4 linked regions of the Saccharomyces cerevisiae S288C genome follow. Changing the gene in region 1 together with any one later gene gives a genetic interaction. Each region holds a gene or a part of one and is shown on either strand. Other genes may lie near its edges. The genes, in order: YDL186W, PAA1, FIT3 and TPK1.

What was found.
Region 2: mutations in YDL186W (region 1) and PAA1 together harm fitness more than expected from each alone (negative genetic interaction), as found in Saccharomyces cerevisiae (2 studies listed by BioGRID).
Region 3: mutations in YDL186W (region 1) and FIT3 together harm fitness more than expected from each alone (negative genetic interaction), as found in Saccharomyces cerevisiae (2 studies listed by BioGRID).
Region 4: mutations in YDL186W (region 1) and TPK1 together harm fitness more than expected from each alone (negative genetic interaction), as found in Saccharomyces cerevisiae (3 studies listed by BioGRID).

The regions. Positions count from the first base shown.
Region 1 is NC_001136.10:122,867-129,179, forward strand, and holds YDL186W (uncharacterized protein), read left to right. Parts: upstream 1-2,749; coding exon 2,750-3,583; downstream 3,584-6,313. Other genes in the region: RBS1 (Rbs1p), read left to right, coding at 1-723; phosphoprotein phosphatase 2A catalytic subunit PPH22, read right to left, coding at 999-2,132; VMA1 (H(+)-transporting V1 sector ATPase subunit A), read left to right, coding at 3,921-6,313.
Region 2 is NC_001136.10:586,533-592,928, reverse strand, and holds PAA1 (polyamine acetyltransferase), read left to right. Parts: upstream 1-3,526; coding exon 3,527-4,102; downstream 4,103-6,396. Other genes in the region: SNF11 (Snf11p), read right to left, coding at 1-490; IPT1 (inositolphosphotransferase), read left to right, coding at 1,585-3,168; FMP16 (Fmp16p), read left to right, coding at 4,550-4,831; ubiquitin-specific protease DOA4, read left to right, coding at 5,210-6,396.
Region 3 is NC_001147.6:1,057,954-1,064,137, forward strand, and holds FIT3 (Fit3p), read right to left. Parts: upstream 3,103-6,184; coding exon 2,488-3,102; downstream 1-2,487. Other genes in the region: YOR381W-A (uncharacterized protein), read left to right, coding at 470-637; FIT2 (Fit2p), read left to right, coding at 1,578-2,039; FRE5 (putative ferric-chelate reductase), read left to right, coding at 3,611-5,695. UniProt on the Saccharomyces cerevisiae protein: Involved in the uptake of non-siderophore and siderophore sources of iron. Has a role in the retention of iron in the cell wall and periplasmic space.
Region 4 is NC_001142.9:109,466-116,350, forward strand, and holds TPK1 (cAMP-dependent protein kinase catalytic subunit TPK1), read right to left. Parts: upstream 1,695-6,885; coding exon 501-1,694; downstream 1-500. Other genes in the region: YJL163C (uncharacterized protein), read right to left, coding at 2,201-3,868; JJJ2 (Jjj2p), read right to left, coding at 4,413-6,164.

The sequences.
Region 1 (6,313 bases):
AGTGATTGGTTGAACGGAGATGACTCTAACACACAAACTAGTAACGGTTCAGTTAGCTCTTCATCACCATTCAATTCATCTGTGACGACGATACAAGTAAACAAACCTCAACAACAATTTTATGATAGTCGAAGAGGAAGAGGAGGAAGAAGAAGAGGAACAAACAATTACAAAGATGCCTATAGAGGCCAAAGTCGTCGGAATAAAGAAAACGGCGGTTACCAATCGGGATATTCTTCGCCATATCTTGTGTATCCTCCTCCCCAAATGGGTGGCAATAGTCTGCCAACCTACCCTCTAATGTATAACCCCGCTGGTCCTGCCCCCGGTCCTGCACCTTCACCCATGGTAATGGGCAATAACACAGTCTTCATGAACCCTTACATGTACAATATGAATCCCCAAGGGTCCTGTTCGTTTGGCACCCCAATCCCTATGTATCCCCCATACCAATATCAATATCAATACCAATATAACACTCAGTATCACAGCGGGCCATATAGCAATACACCAAGCTATAATTCTAACAATTACACAAGATCCTCAGCAAATAAGTACCACCATTTTCAAGGAAAAAATTCATATTCTGGTGCGATTCCGAAACGTAGTGATGACAGTAACAGTAATAAGAATGAGGGAATTCGTAGGGCTAGTGTTGAGGGTTCGCCGTCATCTAGGGATACTGATTCGGTAGAGATGAAATTTGATAAATTAAACATTTAGCGTGAGGAGTGAACTATACATAGCGAAAAAATTACGTAACGGTTTATAGAAATTCTAGTATGAGAACAGTAATATATGAGAAAAAGTTGTTTTCACTTTGTGTTCGAAAAAATAAGTATTTGAAAACGAAAAAATAGTTTGTATGTTTGTATATAAGTTGTTATTATCAAAAATTAGAGGGAAAAAGTAACTAAATATATATTAAAAAAAAAAAAAAAATAAATGTATGTTGGAATGAAATAGCGTAGTAAGGATAAAGGTGTAATAGATATATATTATAAGAAATAATCCGGTGTCTTCCTGGTGACGGTTGGTTCACCGGGTCTCACAGATGGATCGTATTGTAAGAATTGCCTATTATGGTTTTCATCCACCTCCATAATAGCGGCCTGGTTACCACATCTATAACAATAATTTGGAGCACTGAAAATGGTGACAACATTTTGCTGGTGAGACCAAGAATATCCTTCCATTACCAATTGGTGAGCTCTTGCTATTAGTGATAGGTCATTAGTGTGATTGAATTGCTCACTGATGTCTTGACCAAAAGTGAAGCCTGCACCTCTCGGACTGATTCCCCATCCGCCTCTATCATCAGGATCGGACCATAGAAGGTCACACATTGGACCTTCGTGAGGCACTTCCTGTATTCTATTTAAATCTCTAACTTGATCTATTGTCTCTATCATGGGTGAGAGACCTCCATGCAAACAGAAGATTTTATTATCCACCAAGGCAGTAACGGGGAAATAATCGAATAGATCGGTAAACATTTTCCACACGTTCGCACTGCCGTACTTTCTCAAACATTCGTCATAAAACCCATATACTTGGGTAATCTGCCTAGACTCGTGATTGCCCCTAAGTATAGTAATTCTATGTGGATATCTGACTTTCATGGCAACTAGGTAAGATACGGTCTCAACAGAATAATATCCTCTATCCACGTAATCACCCATGAAAAGGTAATTGGTGTCAGGACAAGGACCACCAATCTTGAAAAGTTCTAACAAGTCATGGAATTGACCGTGTACGTCACCACAAATGGTAACAGGCACGTTAATTGGTTTAACATTCTCCTCGAACTGCAACACGTCCACCGCCATTTTACATAGTCGTGCTACATCGTCTTCTGATAGTGGCTCGCATTTACTCAAATGCTCAATCCATTGGTCAAGCTGATTTATATTTGTATTGGTCAGTTTTAGTGGTTTGGAGGATTTATGATCTGCTATACCCGAGGACCCCGGTTTAAAATTAAAATCTTCCAACTCTTCATCTGTGTCTTCGTCATTAGAACGCGCCTTCGTATTATTTTTGCCGTCATCACTATTCATGTCTTCGTCGAGAGTCGGTGATAATTGATCTTCATCTGAACCATGCATAGGGTCATCAATTTCCATATCCATTTTTTTCGAATGAAAGCCAGTTATACAGAAGTGCCAATAATATAAAATTCAAAAAAAGACGTAACAGGAACAATAACCGGAAAGGAAAGAGAGCAGGTAGGACAAGAAGTAAACGGGTTTGCGTGTTCTTGTTCGAACACTGTTTTGCAGCGGGCTGGTACCTTAAGAAGTTTGCTCTAGTTACAGCCCTTCAATTGGTTTTATAAAATGGGGATGTCCCTTTGAAACTTTCCACGACTCTTTTCCACAATTCAGCGGAAAAGAAAATAATAACCTCTTCTAGATTACCCGGTCATGTCAGGGTAATACACGATTGTATTTCAAAGTGCACAACGACTATTGTTGTCGTATAAGCTTTTGGATTAATCTTAGCATTAATTGATACATAATTCCGCAAGAAGAAGTTTTAGGAGAATAGAGTTTCGCTTCTTTTATTAATATTCTGTCCTGTGTCACAAAATATTGTAATAATTTGGTGCGGTGTATGGGTTCAAGTTCCCAAAAAAACAACTAATTTGCGACACTTCGTAGTTCTGTGCTTTTATATGGAATATACTTGTGGACTCTATTCCTGGATGTAGATTTGCTTACAGATAGCCAAGAAATATTAGAAAAATATGCAGTGTAACACAAGTATAGAAGATGGTTTAGATGGGGGCGACATAACTTTCCCATCCTACAGCCCTGAAGCGGAGGCTCAAAACAGATTCTTACCAAGAAGTGAGTTCCCCTCTGTGAGGCAACTCGTGATTTCGAAACAAAAAAGCAGAAGAAGAAGAGAAGAAAATGTATTTGTGGGAAAAATGGAGGACGTACTTGTAAAATGGAGGCCACCTGCATCTTCACATCGTGGCGCAATTGAAGCTATTAATGGCACGCATCCATATCAGCTTAGCACAGCACAATTCAACTCGAGAAGATCGGATCCATTTGGTTCAACAAAGAGAGATGAATCCGTGCGTTCCATTGTAGAATCGTTTACCGATTGGTGGAAACGCAATTCCAAAATGTTTTTTCGTGACGAGGAAGAAGGTGTACGAACCGAACACAGTGCGAGTCAAGATGACCAAGAGTTGCAGCTTTTCGAAGAAGATCTCTTCTCATTTCACCTAAGCCCAAATGATATGTCAACCAGGAACAGCGAACATCAAGTGCAAACACCGGTGCTTTTCCCGTACGAAGCTCCTACTCGAACAAAACAAAACCCAGCAGAAAGAAAAGTCATTGAAATTGGGGACGGCGAAGAACTCTCTATCTATCGAGATGTTTATTCCAATCCTATTCCTGTCAGCTACCTAGATACCTTAAACTTGAACCACTCCATGTCTGTACGGCAAACACAACAGCAACAACAACAGCGGCAACAGCAGCAGTATGTAGACTCTTCATCGGCATTTCAATGCTGTACAGACTCCAATTGGGCGAGAATATTTTTTTGCCACCACGATTAGACTCCACTTTGCTTCTATAGTCCTATCTATTGTTCTTTTTATTCCTAGCATAACCTTATTGTATTGTTCTTTTTCTTTTTCCTTTTTCTTTTTTTTTTTTTTTTTTTTTTTTTTTTCACATCTTTTTCCACGGCCGCTCAAAGGGGTCTCACACTGGATTAAAAGCTGAAAACAAGAAATGGCTCTTTCGATAAGGTTGCAACATTTTGATTACTACGTTGATTAGAATAAAAAGTACCAAACACATTTCTCAAAGCATATAGATATCTAAGATTATAACGCAGGAGTCGTTCTTTCATTCTTAGAGTTAAAAAGCAAATAGAGAAGAAAAGAAACAATGGCTGGTGCAATTGAAAACGCTCGTAAGGAAATAAAAAGAATCTCATTAGAAGACCATGCTGAATCTGAATATGGTGCCATCTATTCTGTCTCTGGTCCGGTCGTCATTGCTGAAAATATGATTGGTTGTGCCATGTACGAATTGGTCAAGGTCGGTCACGATAACCTGGTGGGTGAAGTCATTAGAATTGACGGTGACAAGGCCACCATCCAAGTTTACGAAGAAACTGCAGGCCTTACGGTCGGTGACCCTGTTTTGAGAACAGGTAAGCCTCTGTCGGTAGAATTGGGTCCTGGTCTGATGGAAACCATTTACGATGGTATTCAAAGACCTTTGAAAGCCATTAAGGAAGAATCGCAATCGATTTATATCCCAAGAGGTATTGACACTCCAGCTTTGGATAGGACTATCAAGTGGCAATTTACTCCGGGAAAGTTTCAAGTCGGCGATCATATTTCCGGTGGTGATATTTACGGTTCCGTTTTTGAGAATTCGCTAATTTCAAGCCATAAGATTCTTTTGCCACCAAGATCAAGAGGTACAATCACTTGGATTGCTCCAGCTGGTGAGTACACTTTGGATGAGAAGATTTTGGAAGTTGAATTTGATGGCAAGAAGTCTGATTTCACTCTTTACCATACTTGGCCTGTTCGTGTTCCAAGACCAGTTACTGAAAAGTTATCTGCTGACTATCCTTTGTTAACAGGTCAAAGAGTTTTGGATGCTTTGTTTCCTTGTGTTCAAGGTGGTACGACATGTATTCCAGGTGCTTTTGGTTGTGGTAAGACCGTTATCTCTCAATCTTTGTCCAAGTACTCCAATTCTGACGCCATTATCTATGTCGGGTGCTTTGCCAAGGGTACCAATGTTTTAATGGCGGATGGGTCTATTGAATGTATTGAAAACATTGAGGTTGGTAATAAGGTCATGGGTAAAGATGGCAGACCTCGTGAGGTAATTAAATTGCCCAGAGGAAGAGAAACTATGTACAGCGTCGTGCAGAAAAGTCAGCACAGAGCCCACAAAAGTGACTCAAGTCGTGAAGTGCCAGAATTACTCAAGTTTACGTGTAATGCGACCCATGAGTTGGTTGTTAGAACACCTCGTAGTGTCCGCCGTTTGTCTCGTACCATTAAGGGTGTCGAATATTTTGAAGTTATTACTTTTGAGATGGGCCAAAAGAAAGCCCCCGACGGTAGAATTGTTGAGCTTGTCAAGGAAGTTTCAAAGAGCTACCCAATATCTGAGGGGCCTGAGAGAGCCAACGAATTAGTAGAATCCTATAGAAAGGCTTCAAATAAAGCTTATTTTGAGTGGACTATTGAGGCCAGAGATCTTTCTCTGTTGGGTTCCCATGTTCGTAAAGCTACCTACCAGACTTACGCTCCAATTCTTTATGAGAATGACCACTTTTTCGACTACATGCAAAAAAGTAAGTTTCATCTCACCATTGAAGGTCCAAAAGTACTTGCTTATTTACTTGGTTTATGGATTGGTGATGGATTGTCTGACAGGGCAACTTTTTCGGTTGATTCCAGAGATACTTCTTTGATGGAACGTGTTACTGAATATGCTGAAAAGTTGAATTTGTGCGCCGAGTATAAGGACAGAAAAGAACCACAAGTTGCCAAAACTGTTAATTTGTACTCTAAAGTTGTCAGAGGTAATGGTATTCGCAATAATCTTAATACTGAGAATCCATTATGGGACGCTATTGTTGGCTTAGGATTCTTGAAGGACGGTGTCAAAAATATTCCTTCTTTCTTGTCTACGGACAATATCGGTACTCGTGAAACATTTCTTGCTGGTCTAATTGATTCTGATGGCTATGTTACTGATGAGCATGGTATTAAAGCAACAATAAAGACAATTCATACTTCTGTCAGAGATGGTTTGGTTTCCCTTGCTCGTTCTTTAGGCTTAGTAGTCTCGGTTAACGCAGAACCTGCTAAGGTTGACATGAATGGCACCAAACATAAAATTAGTTATGCTATTTATATGTCTGGTGGAGATGTTTTGCTTAACGTTCTTTCGAAGTGTGCCGGCTCTAAAAAATTCAGGCCTGCTCCCGCCGCTGCTTTTGCACGTGAGTGCCGCGGATTTTATTTCGAGTTACAAGAATTGAAGGAAGACGATTATTATGGGATTACTTTATCTGATGATTCTGATCATCAGTTTTTGCTTGCCAACCAGGTTGTCGTCCATAATTGCGGAGAAAGAGGTAATGAAATGGCAGAAGTCTTGATGGAATTCCCAGAGTTATATACTGAAATGAGCGGTACTAAAGAACCAATTATGAAGCGTACTACTTTGGTCGCTAATACATCTAACATGCCGGTTGCAGCCAGAGAAGCTTCTATTTACACTGGTATCACTCTTGCAGAATACTT
Region 2 (6,396 bases), 460 kb from region 1:
TTGCCAAGAGAAGATAGAGTTTAGAAAGAATATCCTGTGGAGGTTGCTGCTGGTTGGCTAGCTGAGGAGGCGTGAGGATCAGTGGTTTCGCTGAGGGCACTCCTTGGTTTATCTGAGATATGCATTGAAGATTGGCATGAACCCTTTTAAGGAACTGAGATATAAGTTGCTGTATCCTGATGATGTTATTGTTATTGCTATTATTTATATTGTTCTGTAGATTGTTTTGTAAACTATTATTCATCTGAATAACTCTAGCAAGTAATATGCTGTTGATATGCAATAGCAGTTGTACCTTATACTGTCTTTGCTCATCGACCGTGGGGAGGTTCAGCTCTGCAGTTGCATTTGCAGTTGCATTTGCAGTTGCATTTGCAGTTGCATTTGCATTTGCATTTGCATTTGTATTTACATCTACGCCAGCGCCAGTATTGCGGTTCTCGTTTTCAGTGTTGGTGTTCGTATTCGAGTAGGCAATTTCACTGCTCATTTTTCTGGGAAAAAAGGAAATCTGTGTGTTTTGCTTATATGCACATTGAATTTACACTCCCGATCGTGATGCGCTCTGAGCCCTGAATAGAGGGTATCATAAACGGCAATCTTACTACGACCCCACGTAATATGCTTTTATGGGAAGTCTGTTCTCCACTCCGTATATACTGTTAGGAGAAAAAAGGAAAAAAAATTTGCCCGAAAGTCGATTGTTACCCGGCAAAACAATCATCAAAAAAAAACAGGTAGAAGAAGGCTTGCTATAATTTGAACACTCTCTACCCTCCTGGCTGCTTTATCTACTTCTGTTGGCTTGAGAAACGTCATATCTATATATAGCGTAGATATGTTTATTCGCGTTTGCACTGGCCTTGAAGAAACGTGAAAAGAGGGTGGTTTCACCGCACAGCGGGGTTATCCTTGGTTACTCGTAAATGCCAATAATCCATCTTGAATAATTCCTATTCGAGACGCATGGGGAAATGCAAGGCAAGCTAACACGTAGTAGAATACCCTGCTGCACAGCGCCGTTGGGGTCTCAAGTGCAATTGCCGTTTTGCGCGGCGATAAACGGCTAAAGATTACTTCAGTTGGCCACGGCAGCTGCGCCCTTCCCGAGTGGATTACGCTCACGTGCTTTCCGCGGAACAAAAATGTGAACGCCACGGGAAAAAAGCATTATCCCCGCGCCGCTTCTTGACGCCTCTGATTGTGCTGATTGATTCCGCTTTTTTTTTTTACCGGCTTTTTTCTCCGCCTTCTTCGCCTCAATCGAGAGTTCTGGTGTAAATTCTCTTACGAAGTGCAAAGTTAGTAGGAAAGTAAAAAAAATAAGAAAAAGGAAAAATGCCTAGAAATGCAGACCTCCGGCCACAACATTTTTATATAATACATTCGAGCATCAAAAACCAGGAACAATAGAAGAGTAATCGCTACTTGTCAAATAAAAATAAAAAAAGGAAACCTAAGGCATAGTGTTTTCATAAGCATCGCTACTTTTTCATTGCCACCCTAACTGTTCCTTTATTTCACCGGTTGGACGTTATCATTTCTGCTAAGAATCACCTAAAGTCTTTCAACGTCTAAGAAAGCATGAATGTCATATTTTCTTTGGCGAGTTTCGTCAAAAACATGTATAATGCAAGTTTGAACCAACGTAATCTAATAAGCCTGCCGTTCAACTTCATGCTTAATTTTGCGCCAGTGTTTATTTGGCTGTCTATATTCAAGCGCGCTGGTCTGATACCCATAAGGCTCAGACCTGACATTCATAGCAAGTTTGCTTTTTTTGCTGATCAATTCCTCTTTGGGGACTATTGGCATGAACTTACTGTACAATTGCCCGATAATACTTCGAAGCTATTTTTCTGGTCATTCATATCATCTTCTGCATTTCTCTTAGTATTTCTGATATGTATTCCCTTTGCCATTTGGTACTACATCTATTACATTAAGCACGTTAACTATAATCTGTTAGAGTGGTTCGCAAATATTTTTCATTACCCCTGCAAGCGCAAGCAGCGGCCGATCCAAAAGAGATTTCGGACAATTTTCATACCGTTTGCCTTGCCCCTGTTTACATTTGTTATACTCAACATTGATCATTTCTTTGCTTACCAGTCGGATGCAAACTTTACTAAGACCAAGGATTTACTGGCTTGGTTCTCCTATGTCATCCTGCACTTGACAGCTCCAATTTTAACAGCTGTATACTTATACGTCTTCCAACCACCGGGGACTTTAAAATGCTTTAGTTTTGCCCTAGGATTACAAAATATAGCGGGGGTCCTTACCCATCTGCTTGTTCCAATGGCCTCCCCATGGTTTACTCATCTGTACGGTATTGATGACACCGAACATGTTAATTACACCCAGGAAGGGTTTGCTGCCGGTTTGATAAGAGTAGATAGCCATTTGGGTACTCATTTGAACACTAAAGGATTTCACATGTCTCCTATTGTGTTTGGTGCTGTTCCTTCACTACACTCCGCCATTGCATTTCAATGTTTCTTGTTTTTGGTTTCAAGGTCCACCAGCTTAAAACACAGATTTTCCAATGCTGGAGGTTTCACAATGCACAATAATGATTCTTCCACTTTCAAGTTGAGTGAGGAAGACAGCGAAGATGAAGGTGACAATAGCATACCGCCCACGATTGGCCCTAACGACTTAGAGATGGAACCATTGGGTACCGTTGAGCCTGTAGATATTTCAAATGAGCGGTCCTCCTCCCCTTCATCTTCATTCACCGTATCCAGTAATGAAAGAAGCACCGGCGGCGGCGACGGCAGCATTATTAACAGCAATGGCAATAAGAAACCTCTCCAGTTTGTCCATTTATATGATGAAGACACGAACTTCACAAACAAATGGATTTTTAAAATAGTCAACGATGGGTTTATACCAAAATTCTGGGCTATCCTATATATAATACTACAATGGTGGGCTACCATGTATCTGGACCACCATTATAGATTTGACCTTTTCGTTGGTGTTTTATATGCAATGACAAGTTTCATCATCATAAACTGGTTTGTTTTACAACCAAAAGTTTTAAAAAAGTGGATTCATATAAGGTTAGGCGACAAAGTGGATACAAGAAACGAAGCTCGCACTTTTGGCATGAGAGTATTTTGTGGCACCAAGATGGAATGGTTTTTTGATCCGCTTGCATAGACTATAGAATGTCATAATGTAATAAAAGTAATTTCGGATAATTTAAATAATATAGATTGGCTTTTTTTTTAATAATATATTATTAGTGTTATGCATGCTTTTTTTTTTTATTTTAATAAAGGGTTAACCTGAAATCGGCTTGCTTTTGGTTTTCTGTCAATTCATAAAAAGAATAGTTTTGAACGGGCAAAAATGGAAAAGCAATGGAAGAACGACGAACATCCCACTGGACAAGAAGCGGGAGCAAGTGTTTGTAAGAAAAATTTACAACAAACTAGATTAAGAAGAATTGGACATCAGAATACTTTTCTCGGAGAAAAAATAACACCAATACATTACGATTAAATAAAAAGTTAAAATGGCCTCCTCAAGTAGCACGCTACCGCTTCATATGTATATTAGACCCTTAATCATTGAAGATTTAAAGCAGATTTTGAACTTGGAAAGCCAAGGTTTCCCACCAAACGAAAGAGCTTCAGAAGAAATTATCAGCTTTCGTTTGATCAATTGTCCAGAGCTATGTTCAGGTCTTTTCATCAGAGAGATCGAGGGCAAAGAAGTTAAAAAGGAGACACTAATTGGTCATATTATGGGTACTAAGATACCTCATGAATACATTACTATCGAAAGCATGGGCAAATTACAAGTGGAATCGAGTAATCATATTGGTATTCACTCTGTAGTAATCAAGCCAGAATACCAGAAAAAAAACCTGGCTACTTTACTTTTAACTGACTACATTCAGAAATTGAGTAATCAGGAAATTGGTAACAAAATTGTCCTTATTGCTCACGAGCCATTGATACCATTTTATGAAAGAGTTGGTTTCAAGATCATTGCTGAGAACACCAATGTTGCTAAGGACAAAAACTTCGCAGAACAGAAATGGATCGATATGGAGAGAGAACTAATTAAGGAAGAATACGACAACTAGATCATTAGTTTAACGCACTTTACAAATGTCTAATTATAAATACTACATATAATTTTTGTATATTTTAAAATTGCCAAGTATAATTAAAATCATTACTACTGGTGCTACCCTACATCCTTGACCGTACTGAGATATCACTGCTTAATTCCGGTGATTGGGTTCTTTTCAGTTCTTGGAGAGATATACGTACTACCTTCCTTTTTTTTTAAGGATACCTTTACTGTAAAGGGTTTGTTCCTGTATCAACCCCTTCTTCCTGTACAGAATCTAAGGGAACCGTAAAAGCACATAAGTATATAAAGGTCCCAAGATTTGATTAGGTAGATATGGCCTTTGAGTTGGCTCTTAGTTTTTTTTGGCCTTGAATACTTGTTCCTACAATACTCCAACAGCAGTTGAAGCCAGACCGCAGTATCACATATATAATACACAGGAATATATTTGATAATGTTGAGAACCACTTTTTTGCGCACTCCAAGACAATTGATGCGTAAATCGCCAAGGGCGTCTTTCTCAATCGTCACTAGGGCCGCCTTTCCTCACCTAAAGAACAATCAAGATGAAGCTGAGAAAAAAGAACAGGGTTTGTTTGATAGCAACAAGAAGAGGTTGGACACTTTGGAACACGGCAAGAATCCAGATTATAAGCAACCTGGAATGGAAGATTTGAAAAAAAAGGGAGATGACGCTAGAATCGAACAAAACAGGCCAGATGACGGTGTTTATTAAGAAGCACTTGGTACAAACTCGTATATGCATGTAGTTTCTGTCATACACATATCTATATTCCTTCCCCCCTGGTCCTATCGTATTTAGTCATATCATATCATTTATTGATATCTATATAAGTGCAAAACTATAACCATTATTTATTTGCTTTCCACATTGTTTTACTTCATTTGCTTCAATATCGTTCATTACGTTTAGCGAATGGCTAAGGCCCTTGTATTAGTAAAAGCCTAGAAAAAAAAAAAAAAAAAAAAAAAAGGATATGATGTTATATGATACGTGTAGTTCATGTATTTATCTTCGGTAGTATAGGGCAGATTTAAGACTGAGTGTGCACGCTTCCAAAGTTTTTTTTACTATTTGATACATGCTTAAGTTATGGAGCAGAATATTATTAGTACCATAAGGGATGAGTGTATTCGTCACCGGTCGAAGTACCTTACGATAGCACAACTAACCGCTATTGCAGAGGCTAAAATTAACGAATTCATCATAACTGGTAAGGCAAAAGATCAAGATTTGAGCAGTCTTCTAGATAAATGCATCGATATTTTATCTATTTACAAGAAGAACTCGAAAGATATCAAAAATATTATATCGTGCAAAAATAAGGGTGCAATGATTAGTTCAAATTCCGTAATGATTATTCAATTAAATTATGTTTACTACAAGGTAATTCACATTATTGTAACAACCAATATTCCTCATTTAAGTGAATTCGCCAAGATTAAATTACATAAGAGCACGAGTGATGAGGGCAACGGTAATAACAACAATAATGAATTTCAACTCATGAACATTTACAACACTTTGCTGGAAACCTTATTAAAAGATGAAAACATTGCAAAAATAAAAAGTTTCATTAAGTCTTCCATAAAACAAACAAAATTGAACCATGAGCAAGAAGAATGTAACCTGATGAGAACGGGTTCCTATATCACTTCCAATCAATTAAACTCCCTAATAAGTTCATCAGCAAATTCTGCTTCCTCCCAAATGGAGATACTACTGATAGATATACGATCAAGGTTGGAATTCAACAAGTCACATATTGATACAAAAAATATTATATGCCTGGAGCCTATTTCTTTTAAAATGTCATATTCAGATCATGATTTGGAGAAAAAATCATTAATTACTTCTCCTAATAGTGAGATTAAAATGTTTCAAAGTAGAAATCTTTTCAAGTTTATCATTCTCTATACAGACGCAAACGAATACAATGTTAAACAGCAGTCTGTCCTGTTGGACATTCTGGTGAATCATTCCTTTGAAAAACCAATATCCGATGACTTTACCAAAATTTTCATTCTGGAATCTGGTTTTCCAGGTTGGCTTAAGTCAAATTATGGGAGGCAAGTATCATCATCTTTTCCATCAAATAACAATATTAAAGATGATAGTGTTTATATTAATGGTAACACTTCTGGCCTAAGTTTACAACATTTACCTAAGATGTCTCCCAGTATAAGACATTCAATGGACGACTCTATGAAAGAAATGCTAGTTGCGCCTACTCCATTAAATCATCTTCAACAACAGCAACAACAGCAATCAGACAATGA
Region 3 (6,184 bases), on another chromosome or scaffold:
AAAGAAGTTTTTTGTAAAAAAAAAAAATTTCTCAGTAAGCATATAAGCCTCAGTGAAATAAAATTTTAACAACTACACGCTATTCTATTCCATTTGCCCTGCTTTTCTCGCTTCGTTATCACCTAACCACTAAGAACATACTAATAATACAAAATTTTTATCCACTTTTTACCAACAGATTTTCATGAAATATCCATCTTCTTTCCGAATTCTGTATAAAATGAAAGAGAGATTTTTTGCTCTCAATCCAGGCTCAAGGCTCTTGAGAACAGGTAATTGTTGTTTAGCACGTTTTCAACACATTTATCAGAAAACGACAGTTAAAAATAAGACGAGCGGCGTTATCATCCTGATAGTCACTAAATGAAAAGCAGGTACTTTTGAAGAGCACATGTAATATTTGCTCAACTGATAATACCTTCATTTTATACACACTTCTAATTTTTTTTTTAAAATCAGATACGCATTGATGTTCAATGTAGCATTACCATCACAAGACAAAAAATCAGAATTTTACAAGCAAAAGCGCTTATCTTTAAGGACCAACATATTAGATGAATTCTTAAGGGTTGCCAAAACGCAAGACAACAGGCAAAATAATTTCGTTTCTCAGTACCGAAATGACGAAATATACTGAGGCAAATGCGATCATCATGCCTTTGCGCCAAGAAACTCCCTTGTGAAGAACTTCAAACCGAAATGGGAAAACTTTGAGTTATTGACAGGGAATACGGAGGGGAAGATCACACTTAAATCCGTATGAGCCGCGCACATAATGGTATTCAAATACACAAGAACATTCATGAGCTATTTTTCATCCGTGCAAACGAATTTACTACAATTGGACCAGAGGGCACCATAACTGGAGACTTTGCTACTGACTCAACGTTGATGATGCGAGTAGTGGGTGTACTGTGATTTGCTCATTTTTTTTTTTATAGAAAGATTCGATTAATGAAAGTCACAGGAGACATTTTTACATAGACATTCCGTATATGTTGCGGGTATCGCGGATGCGGATTAGTGATGCCTTTAACTACATTTCATAGATTTCTGTATACCAATTGAAATGAGTGAAGTAAGCTCCTACAGTGAAATATCTGGGTGCTACTGACGCCAAGCCCTACAGCGATCGGAATGCGGGAACGGAAGTTAACGGGGCTTCCAGAACGGCGGAAGCGAATTGAACGAGGACGGCAAACAAAAACACCCAAAATTTCATTACTTAGAATGACCCTCAAGAGCAGGGTGCAATTTATCAAGCGATCATTGAACTAACTAAGTTCATATCCTGTATAGGATTTAAAACAATGCACCCTAAGTTCAAATGCACCCCCCCTCGCCCCGCAGCGGACCCTTGAACAGAGAACTGTTTCGAGGTTCACCCAATTGGATCACTTGTATAATTTGTAATCGAGTTCGGATAAGATGTATACGAATCTAACTGGGTGCAGTATAATTAGCATTTTATATTACCTAGCAATATATGTATAAAACAGGAATGTGTGCGTGCTTCAGGCAGAATTTTACGGTCCTTGTAAAAAAGTCTATCATAAAGCCATCACAAAACAATAATAATGAAATTCTCAACTATTTTCGGAGCTACTACAGTTATGACTGCCGTCTCGGCAGCAGCTGTGTCGAGTGTAATGACCACTAAGACTATTACTGCTACTAACGGTAATAACGTTTACACTAAGGTCGTTACCGACACCGCTGACCCTATCATTAGTTACAGTACCACTAGAACTGTCGTTGTCAGTAATAGTGATGCTACTTACACAAAGGTTGTCACCGAAGGACCAGATACCACCTCTGAAAAGAGTACAACAAAGACACTTACTTTGACAAACGGTTCAGGTTCATCAACCAACCTTTACACCAAGACCGTCACTCAAGCCGTCGAATCATCTACATCCTCCTCATCCTCCTCATCCTCCTCCTCCTCTTCTGCCTCTTCTTCTGGTGCTGCTCCTGCTGCATTCCAAGGAGCAAGTGTCGGTGCATTGGCCCTTGGTTTGATTTCTTACCTATTATAAGCTCGGTTTCAAACCAGAAAAAAGCTATTAGTTATCGTGTATAGCATATTTATAACTTATCTATGAAAAGCTAATATAATTGTCTTTCTCCTTCAAAAGGCTAGTAAAAAGGACTTTTTTTCATTACGTTTCTCAGTGACTTCAATGTAGCAGTTTTTCGTTTCATCATCATCATCGTATTATTATTATTGTTATTATTATTATTATCATTACTTTTATTAATATTAACTATTTTTTTAGTATGATTTCGGGTATATTTATTTTAATTAGATACTTTTAACCGTTTCAAACAATTAAAGGAAGACCAACGAACTTGAAACAGTATATATACATACATACTTAATGTGTGTTATTAAAATTTTTTTATTCTAACATAACTTCGAAAAAAGGCCAAGCCGCAAGGTGCTTCATAAAAATCGGATATCCCGCATGATTATTCACATATCATTTACAATAACATGACGGCAGCAAGGGCAGCACCCATCAAACCAGTACCAGCGGTGATGGCATCAGCAGCACCGGTGTAACTAGATAATTCAGCGGTGCTAGAGGATGTAGCAGAGGAAGAAGTTTCAGCAGTGGTGGTTGCAGTGGTTGAAGCAGAAGAGGTAGCAGCTTCTGAGCTGGTAGAAGTACTACTTGGAGACCAGGTGTTGCTGCTGCCTTCACCAGTCCAGACAAAAGTAGCATCTTGGGTGACAGTCTTAGTGTAGACGTGACCGTTCTTGGTGGCAGTGATAGTGGTAGTGATACTAGAACCAGAACCTTCATCAGCAGAAGAAGTCTCAGCAGCAGAAGAAGTCTCAGCAGCAGAAGTGGTAGCGGCAGCAGAAGTGGTAGCGGCAGCAGAGGTTTCGGCGGCAGAAGTTTCGGCGGCAGAAGATTCAGCGGCAGAAGTGCTGCTGGCGTAAGAGTCTTCACCACCCCAAACAAAAGTAGCATCTTGGGTGACAGTCTTAGTGTAGACATGACCGTTCTTGGTGGCAGTGATGGTGGTGGTGATACTCTCAGCAAGAGCAGTAGCGGCAACAGCAGATAGAACCAAAGCGGAAGAGAATTTCATTTTAGGGATTATTGTTATTAGTTATTTTTAAGCGAGTGGAAGTACTTGTTTGTATCTGTTCGAACATTCATATTACCTCCTAATACTTCAAATAGTTCTTGGCTTAAATACCCCATAAATCAACTTTTACAAAAAAAAAAATAACAAATCTCGAACGATAATTGAACCCCATTTTTTTGCACCCTTTCCTAGAATGGCGGAACTCGGCTCTTGAGCCCTTAGATTGCTTTCCTTCACATACATCAAAAAATATGGGATAGCGGGGTGCGGAACAAACAGGGTGCAAAAAAAAATCTAGGACATAGGTAGGACTAAGAAGACTGTGGCATTACTACACAGCAATCATATTTTACCGCTTCCTCGTTTAATTGGATTTTTACTTTTCATTACATTAGCGATCATTAAAAAAGGAGCGTCAATTTTTTACTTGGCAAATGTGTAATGTAGCGTTTTCGGTATGTCACATCACCAATTTTGTCGCAGTTAATTTAATTCACCCAGATTTCGAATGCTTTTCGCTAGATTAGTGCTGCTGTTGGTGTATTTGGCACCAGGTTCTTTAGCAAAACCAGCATCAACTAAGAAAAGAACGCAATGGGACCAGATAGCAATTGATGCTTGTGCTAAAGAATTGGAATCACACAAATTTGACACGGATGTGAAGGGTCGGCACGCTACTCTTTGCACTTATGAACCAGCACTAGGGTCTTGGTTACATTGCGCGAAGGATGTTCTCGACAGTAGGAAGAAAAGTAAAAAAATATTCGAAAAAACGTTTAGCAAAATTAATCAGTATTGCCACGATTATCACAAAGATGAGGTCGTCAGCAATGAGGAGTATTATCGAATTTTTGCCAATGCATCCCTTTTCATCCGGCCTCTTGATGAGGTAAAGGAAAACATACGATATCCCGTCACTCCCAATAAAGCCTCTCTAGATAGGTGGGTATGGGCTTATTTTGGGCCCCTGGATAATATAGACAAAGGAAATGTTTATGGAGTGACGATTTGCTTATACTGGATAGGAGTTCTGTTTATTGCAGCTGTATATCACTTCTTGAACTTTTCTCGACTTAAACAAACGGTGTTCAAAAACAAGGTGTCTGCTTTCTTAAGAGGCCACTATGTTCTTCCAGCGCTTGTTCATAACCATGCTATGTCAGTGGGAAGGTGGTTTTTCATCGGTCTGGTCCCTACCAGGTTAGAGACCCTTGTCCTATTCGGTTACGTTTTGTTGCACGGGTTCTTGTTGAGTAGTTACAATTTTGACCATAATGAGTTGCTCAGTGATCGCAGAAGCCAAGTGCTTATCTTCCTTTCCGACAGGGCAGGGATCCTGGCATTCGCACATTTTCCTTTGATAGTTCTCTTTGGCGGTAAAAACAGCACAATGACTTGGCTCACAGGTATAAGATATACCGCATTCATTACTTACCACAAATGGTTAGGAAGATTCATGTTAGTAGACTGTACGATCCATGCAATAGGATACACCTACCATGCATACATAGAAAATTACTGGAAATACGTGAAGTATAGTGATCTATGGACATCCGGAAGACATGCCATGATCATTGTTGGAATACTTGTGTTTTTTTCGTTCTTCTTCTTTAGACGACATTATTACGAATTGTTTGTTATTACGCACATTATCTTAGCAATAGGATTTTTCCATGCGTGCTGGAAACATTGCTATAAACTTGGATGGGGTGAATGGATAATGGCGTGTGCACTGTTTTGGATTGCTGACCGTATTCTGCGGCTAATAAAGATTGCAATTTTTGGAATGCCATGGGCTAAATTGAAACTGTGTGGCGAGTCCATGATAGAAGTGAGAATCTCAAAAAGCTCCAAATGGTGGAAAGCAGAACCTGGCCAATATATATATCTGTACTTCTTAAGACCAAAAATATTCTGGCAATCACATCCATTCACGGTCATGGATTCTTTGGTTGAGGATGGTGAGTTGGTAGTTGTGATAACAGTGAAAAATGGGCTAACCAAAAAATTACAGGAATACCTTTTAGAGAGCGAAGGGTACACGGAAATGCGAGTACTAGCAGAAGGACCTTATGGACAAAGCACGCGAACACATTTGTTCGAAAGCCTCCTGTTTATTGCCGGAGGGGCGGGTGTTCCTGGACCTCTGTCGATGGCAATAAAGGCAGGTCGCCAGGTCAAAAGCAACGATTCTCATCAAATGATCAAATTTGTGTGGAGTGTACGTAACCTTGATCTCTTAGAAGTGTATCGCAAAGAGATAATGGTGCTAAAAGAGTTGAACATAGACACAAAAATTTACTTCACAGGAGAGCGAAAAGATGAATCGAACACGGAGGAGGGAGCAATTGCTAATATGAGCACGGAAGGCAGACTGCTGACGACATCGAAATCAGCGGAAATGATTACTGATTTTGGACGACCAAATATCGATGAGATAATTGAAGAAGCAGTAAGTGGTGCAAAATCTTTGTTGGTCACTTGTTGCGGGTCAGAGGGCTTTGTAGACAAGACACGAGAGTTGACGGCAAAAAGAGTTCTTGAACACGGTGACAAATGGATAGAATACGTGGAGGAATTCCAGAATTGGTAGCATTTCAATCCGCCCTATCAATGCTAACCTGTTACGAATACCAAAACCACAAAAACACGGACCTTGTTTAATTACTGTATGAAATAACTGTACTCCATTAATATTCAATGCATTTAGTCCTTAAAAATCAGCGGGAATCTAATAAGCCGGCGAAGGTACTACACCTCACCCTTACTGTTATTTAAAAATCCTATTTGTGGGGATTTGCAATTAGTTTTCATCGCCAAATAACAATCCTTCACTGCACACCACTACTTAAAAAAAGGGTACATTGCTAACATTCTTGGTATGAAAAATTGCAGTCATTTAGATTGAGTTGGCAAAAATACAAATTTAACGCATGAGTATAAAATCGCTATTCGCTTTATTATTATTTCCTCCCTGATTAATAAATATCGAAGGGTAATCAGGGTTACGGGAACAGTACTTATCGGAGGAATAATAAGCAGCACCCTTTAGAATGTGGATCGTTTCAATACAGTCGCATCT
Region 4 (6,885 bases), on another chromosome or scaffold:
TTTATTTTTTCAAAATTTTTTTTTTATTTAGCAAGTTTCTCTATCTCCTTTGTATTCTAAAAGTAAATGGATGGAAAGAATGGATCTTTTCGTAGACTATAATGCTTCCTAAAATATACACGTATAGAATGGAGATTCCGACTTGTTTGGAGCCACCAATTGCCCTTTATTTGGTTTATACCAAGGGGCTCACGTAAAAAAAAAATCGATATGCAAAATCCTTCATTTCATGATGCAAGCTTTCGAAAGTGGCGCGGCGAGCAAAGTAGAAAATCAAAGACAGAAGCGTAGAATAAAAGCCCTTTTAATGGTAGGAATACGCCTCGATAACATCATGTATGCAATCTACAAGAACAGTGAACGCCGTTCCATCTCCGTAGTAACTATACAGGGGTTGAAATTTCGTTTTCGAAGGATAGTTGTTATGTAGAAAAGAGGGAAAAAAATATGAAAAAAAAAAAATATAGATACGAGAGGAAAATACAACAAAACATTAGTCATTAGAAGTCCCGGAAAAGATCAGCATATGGGTCTTCACCTTGAACACCGTAGTTGATGTCTTCTTCCGGGTACTTATCGAACTGTGAGGTGTCACCTTGTCCCTGTTGAATGGGCGGTTCATACGGCGTTTCTATGTTTCTAGATAATAATTTTTCCCAGACAACTTCTTTGAACCAGGGGTGGTTTTTGACATCTTCTGTACCATTTTGTAAATTACCTAGTCTTTGACTTAAGTCTCTTGTGATCAATCTACTCAACAGGTCCTTTACATCTTCGTTGAAAAATGGTGGAAATCTCAATTCGGCATTCAAGATTTTCTCATAGGTTTTCATCGTGTTAGAGTCGTAAAATGGCGTGTATCCTGCTAGCATTTCGTAAATCAGAATACCGAAACTCCACCAATCGATAGATTTATTATATGGTTTAGTACTAACGACCTCGGGTGCTATGTAGTCGGGAGTACCGCATAATGTATATGTGACGTCAGGAACGTATTTGGCAAACCCGAAATCTGTTATCTTTATATGCCCGTTTTTATCAAGCAAGATATTTTCCGGTTTCAAATCCCTATAAATAATGTCCTTGCTATGCAAGTACTCCAAAGCTAAACAAACTTCCGCTGCGTAAAATTTAGCAACTGGGTTGGGAAATCTTTGGGATTTCCTTAACAAAGAAAACAATTCTCCACCTTCAATATAATCCATAATCATGAAAATTTGCTGAGCATCTTGGAAAGTCCCCCACATTCTAATAATAAACGGATGTGTTACGATAGAAAGCATCAATCGCTCGTCGTTGGTATGCTCCACCTGTTTCAATCTTACCACGATTTCCTTTTTCAAAACTTTCATGGCGTAGTATCTGCCATTATGTCTTGATCTAATCAAATGGACCCTACCAAAAGAACCCGTACCCAGTGTCCTTAATATCTGAAAGTCTTGTAAACTATACTTCCCACTTGTAACTCTCGCTTGGGCAATAAACTGTTTATACTGCTCCTCATTGTAATAAGTGACATGTGGCTGCTTCGGTTTTTCTTGGGTTTCTCCACCCTCTTTTTCTACAGACTTACTTTCGTTACCGCTCTCTGTGGCTGTTGTTTCCCTTTCACTAGTCTCACCTTTTTGTGATTCCTCACCTTGTCTATCATCTAGAGACTTTTGACCACCTCCATTTTGTTCTTCAGTCGACATACCCAAAAAAAAGATTCTTTCACACAATCAGCTATAATTCATGCACTGCTTAAGCTAAGAGAACACTACTTTCTGTGCTACCTTTGAAGCCGATTGAAAATGCAAGCAAGCCAAACAAAAAAAAAAGTATAGGGTCAGATTCCTTAGCTTTATCAAATTAAAACTCTTAGATGGATACAATCGCAGCTTCTATGATGTTTCGCACCTAAAAATTCTCACGTTTTTCTGGCCAGAGATAGTAGATGAATATTTTTCAAGTTTTCAAGTAAAGGGATACGATATCCCCCTTGATTATTATGTCAAACTTTTACCAGATCCCGCCTTCCCTCCCCCCTAATAGCGCGAAAAAAAAGATCATCATGATTACGTAGAAAAAACCACAACAACACTATGTTGAATCATGTCATAAGCAAAGTCGTTAGGACACTGGCTTTGCAAGAACGAATAGCAGCACAGCTTCGAACAAGTAACTAAAAATATGTGGTGTATACGGTATGTAAATGTTTTTAAGGCCCGTCCAGCGGAGGGTTCTTGTAAATTCTTAGGAAGAATGTCAACAAGATGGCAACAATACTTGTTGAGAACGGTATATACATAAACAGACTAGGATTAACGGAGACAGTACTTCCATATAGCTTAAGGAGGATGGGAGGGATGACAAGCATAACACAGGACCTTACCAAAGCCATTGCTCCGAACATCTCGCCTGTATGTTTCTTAGAGGTGTACTTTATGATACCAGACTGCAAAGTTGGTGAACAAAACGCGCTCAATGCCTGTAAAAGAGCGAATATTATCATGGATGTGGGAGTTTTCTCGCCAAATCGTATCATGACAAAGAGACTCAGTGTTATAACAATCATAGAAAACTGTATGCAAAAGATGTCTATCTTGTCTATCGAATGGTTCAAGTGTTGATAAATCCTCTTTAGCGTGTACAGTAATGTAGGTGATACGACCAGTAACACAACACCTCTTCCGATACCCAGTATCGATATGAAATAACCTAGCTCTACTGCATGCCATTTGTACTCATATGTAGAAAACAAAATCAATGCTGGCATACACGATGTCGTTCCACAGACAAATAGTATATCGAGTACAATGAGTAATATTACGGTATGCCGGGGTACTAAAGACCCTGCACTGTCGGGCTTCAGCCATAACTTTTTTACTGGAGCGAGCAGGTCCATTAACCTCATTATTTGAAATTTTCCATAAGTAACGGATTGGTAATTTCTTGCATCGTCAGAACCCGATTGTGATCTTAGTTTCTCTCTCCTCTTTGTATAAGTTGATTGTGAATGGGCCATTTGGGTTTCATGGCGCGGTTCCACCATGATTGTCTCACATATTATAAGCGCCAGTATAACAAACGCTATTGATGTGTAAATAGGAATGAACCCGTTTCCATGAGTCCACTTCACCAGAAAGGACCCAAACATTGGGCCTACGCCCATAGTGGCATATATACAACTCATCATTATTCCTATTGTCACCATTCTGTGCTCAGTTTTCACTATATCTGAAACGTAACTATTTCCATTCGCCACTAGCGCAAACAAGCCACCGAATGATGGTACGATACACGCAGTAAGAACAATAGCCCATTTGTGATACTTCATTTTCGATGATAGGGTAAAGACGTGCGTAAGAAGCCCTATGACCCTGATGCCGCTCATGTATTTGAAAACACGCACTCTTCCTATTCTATCGGATAATTCTCCCCACTTACCAGCCATGAAAATACTGATTGCCCCTGCTATCATCATAGTGGATGAAGAAATGCTGGAAACTATTGTCTGTACAGCCACGGAATCATAATGTCCATTCTCATCTGAAATTCCTTCCGCTACCTTGTCCATCACCAACGGTATTGTAGCAGTCATAGAAATAGACTCCGCAATACAGATAATCATAACAAGGCCGTAAAGGCATAATAGTTTTCTACGTCCATGCTCTCCCTCAACGCTTTTGGCAACACTCAAAATACTGGGGGAGCGCCGGATAGAGTCATAGCTACTGTCCTGAGCTGTTTCATTAGTATCCAAATTTATTCCAGTACTGTCATTTTGACTAATGATTTCTTCCAAGGCGTTGATCCCAGCCGTTTCCAATAAATAGTCCATCTCATCTGAAGACATTAAACGAGTTGTTTCATCCTCGTTTGACATTGTTCTGCGCCTTTGCTTCGCACGGTTTGAAGATGTATACGTGAAATGCAAGAACTAGGGTTTGTATTCCTTATAAGTCTATTAGACTTCTTGCAGATCAGCCCTTCATCTTGTTGGTTTTTAGGAATCCCTTACCCTTTATTTTTTTTTTTTTTGATTTCGATTAAGGGCGGGAAATCATGATAAACTTCCACGGAACAACAATAAACGCTCGGCCAATGTTAGTAAGATACACTGTACTTACCTGATGATAATCCCATAGCACTTTCATTCACTTGGAAGCCAAACCAGTTTATAAGTACTTTTAAATTGCCAAGTGCACCCTTTGGTAATTTTTTTTTACTTTTACCATTTTCTGTAAGAATTTTCTATTTATTTCAGTAGTTTATTGAATTTCCATAACTAAATATATATTTAAGATATTAATAATTGAGACATGAAATGTACTGACTAGATACTTTTATATATTTTACATTATTCATTCAAATTATTTCCATCCTGGCGTAAGGACGACGGGTATATGCTCATTAAGAAGAGCGTTCGATTATACTTTACCGTCACATCTTTCGGAAAAAATTTTAATGACCTGCATCTGTCTTTCTTGTAAGATGTTCAATTTGTCCATTAAACTTTTATCAAATTCTAGGTATGTTTTCCAAACCATAATACTTTGCTTTTGGGTTAACATATCACTGAACTGCGTATCTGCTCTCAGGCGCTGTAATGATACTTGATGTATTGTTTCTTTAAGTTTGTTACATTGGTTATTAAACAGCTGCACGTTAAGCTTCAATGTTTCAAGGTCAGCCACTGCATCAAATTCCGGAATCTCTGGTATTTCCAAATCTAAGATCTCGGGTGTAATTCCACACTGTTCTAGTAACGGTTTGAATTTTGCACGATTACTTTCTGCTTGGGCAAAAGTTCCACCTTGTTCGTGACTCTGAGTGGTCTTCGGCTTTTTAAAAAGATTGATTGATTCTAACGAGTCATTAATTGCATCCATCATAAAATAATCTTTTTCTCTTGGTAAAGATTGGAACAATTCTTCTAAAGATATATCATCTTTCTTTCTCCTTTTCATCCCTTTAGGTTCTTTGATAGATAAATTTTCTATGTCGATTGAGTCGCTGTGATTTTTATCACCTATTTCATCCCGACGAAACAGCAAGTCTTTATTTCGATCGTCTACATTGCTTATATTGAGTTTTTCAATAATGTCTCTCAAAATGTTCCATCCTTCATTGGCACTAGTTGTTGCAGGTATCTCTTTAATGGGAGAAACTGACTTTCTAAACTGATTCTTGCATTCGAATTTACTTCTTGCGTAATGTCGATACTCATGATTGTAAAAAGGAGATTGCAAATTTGAATCATGGGATCCACTAGAAAAAGTACTGGTCTTGGGCAATTTAAATTGTTTGTGTCCCGTTTCTTCTTCGCCATTTTCCTCTGGAGAGACTCTGCTTTCCCTTTTCGGTTCTTTATTATTTTTTTTTTCTTCATCAGGACTGCTAGACTTCGACGTCATTCCATAATGTTGCTGCTGTTGCTGTTGTTGCTGCTGTTGCTGTTGTTGTTTTCCTGCTTCTTCTTCTTCTTCATGATCGCTTAGTGCTGATCCCAAACATGAATTTGGATCTTCAGAGTAAGATTTATGTGTGTACGCATTTTTACCCAATATTTCCCATATTTCTTGGAACTGAGAGTTCGTATCCATTTTACCGGCATCAGTCATTCTTACTTTTGAGGCTCCATTGGTTTCATGGAACAAAGAATCAATATCAGGACTTCCATGTTTCCTTTCCTTTTTGGATGAATAATAGTGGTTTCGTTGGTAGCTTTTTAAATTGAAGGACTTGAATATCGGAACCTTACTCTTAGAGCTTGAGGTCATTTTTTTGCCTACACCGAAACCGTAGGGCTGTTGCTCATAAGGTTTATTTTGCCTATGATAAGCTTCTGATTGACCAAGTGTGGGACTAGCCCCTTGTGATTCCTTTGCCTTGGTCTTGAAAATATGACAGTTTTTCTTCGGCTGGTAAGTGTGTAAACCTTTGATTTTCAAATCTCGATCATATCGAAGTTTTTGATCTTCATCAGTTAAAATTGAATGTGCATGCACCACAGCTTTGAATAATTCCTCAGACTTATCAGATTTTGTTTTATCTGGGTGAAGTAATCTGGCCAGTTTTAGATATGATTTATGTACTTCGGAGGAAGTCGCATTTGATGTCAAGCCTAATATGGAATAATAGGTTGTTCTATCTAATTGTGGTTCTATTACCTGTGACATAAGAATAGTACAGTGTACAATAGCATAAACTGAAGAAGCACTTTGCTACAGTCTATATTGAACATTCCAGGTCTATTTACGCTCATGCCTCAAAAAAAGTTTAAAGGCATCGCACGGTATTGTATTTTCAAGATGTCCGCACCGAATCGGTATTGTAAAAGTTTCACAATATTGAACATCTAGCACAATGATCAACTGAATTGAGGACAAACAGATAATTTTCGTGTGATATTATATTTTAATAGGATAAAGGTGAACTACTACAAACTATTTCAAAAAATAACTATTTAGCTAATCACATAAAAAATACTCCGATACGGGGAGTCGAACCCCGGTCTCCACGGTGAAAGCGTGATGTGATAGCCGTTACACTATATCGGATTATAAACGGTTAATATTCAACACCTAATAGTACTACTTACCAAATTAACAAGAGGATCATCTTTCCCATATGATAATAGACACCGGCTCTAAACTCAACTGTTCTGTACTAGTTGTTTTGATAGAATTTTTTTTACAAATCTGCCCAAAGTACGTTTTCCTAGTTTCATGCCTGTGCAACGCCGCAGCGCTAACCTGTGCAGGACAGATATGTAAATTGGAATCTTAACAGCAACAGAGACTCTCTCAAAACCGATACCAGAACTCAACCGCACTTCGTTATCCATAAATGTTGCCTTAGCCGAATGCAATACATCCCTTATAAAATCAATACAATGCG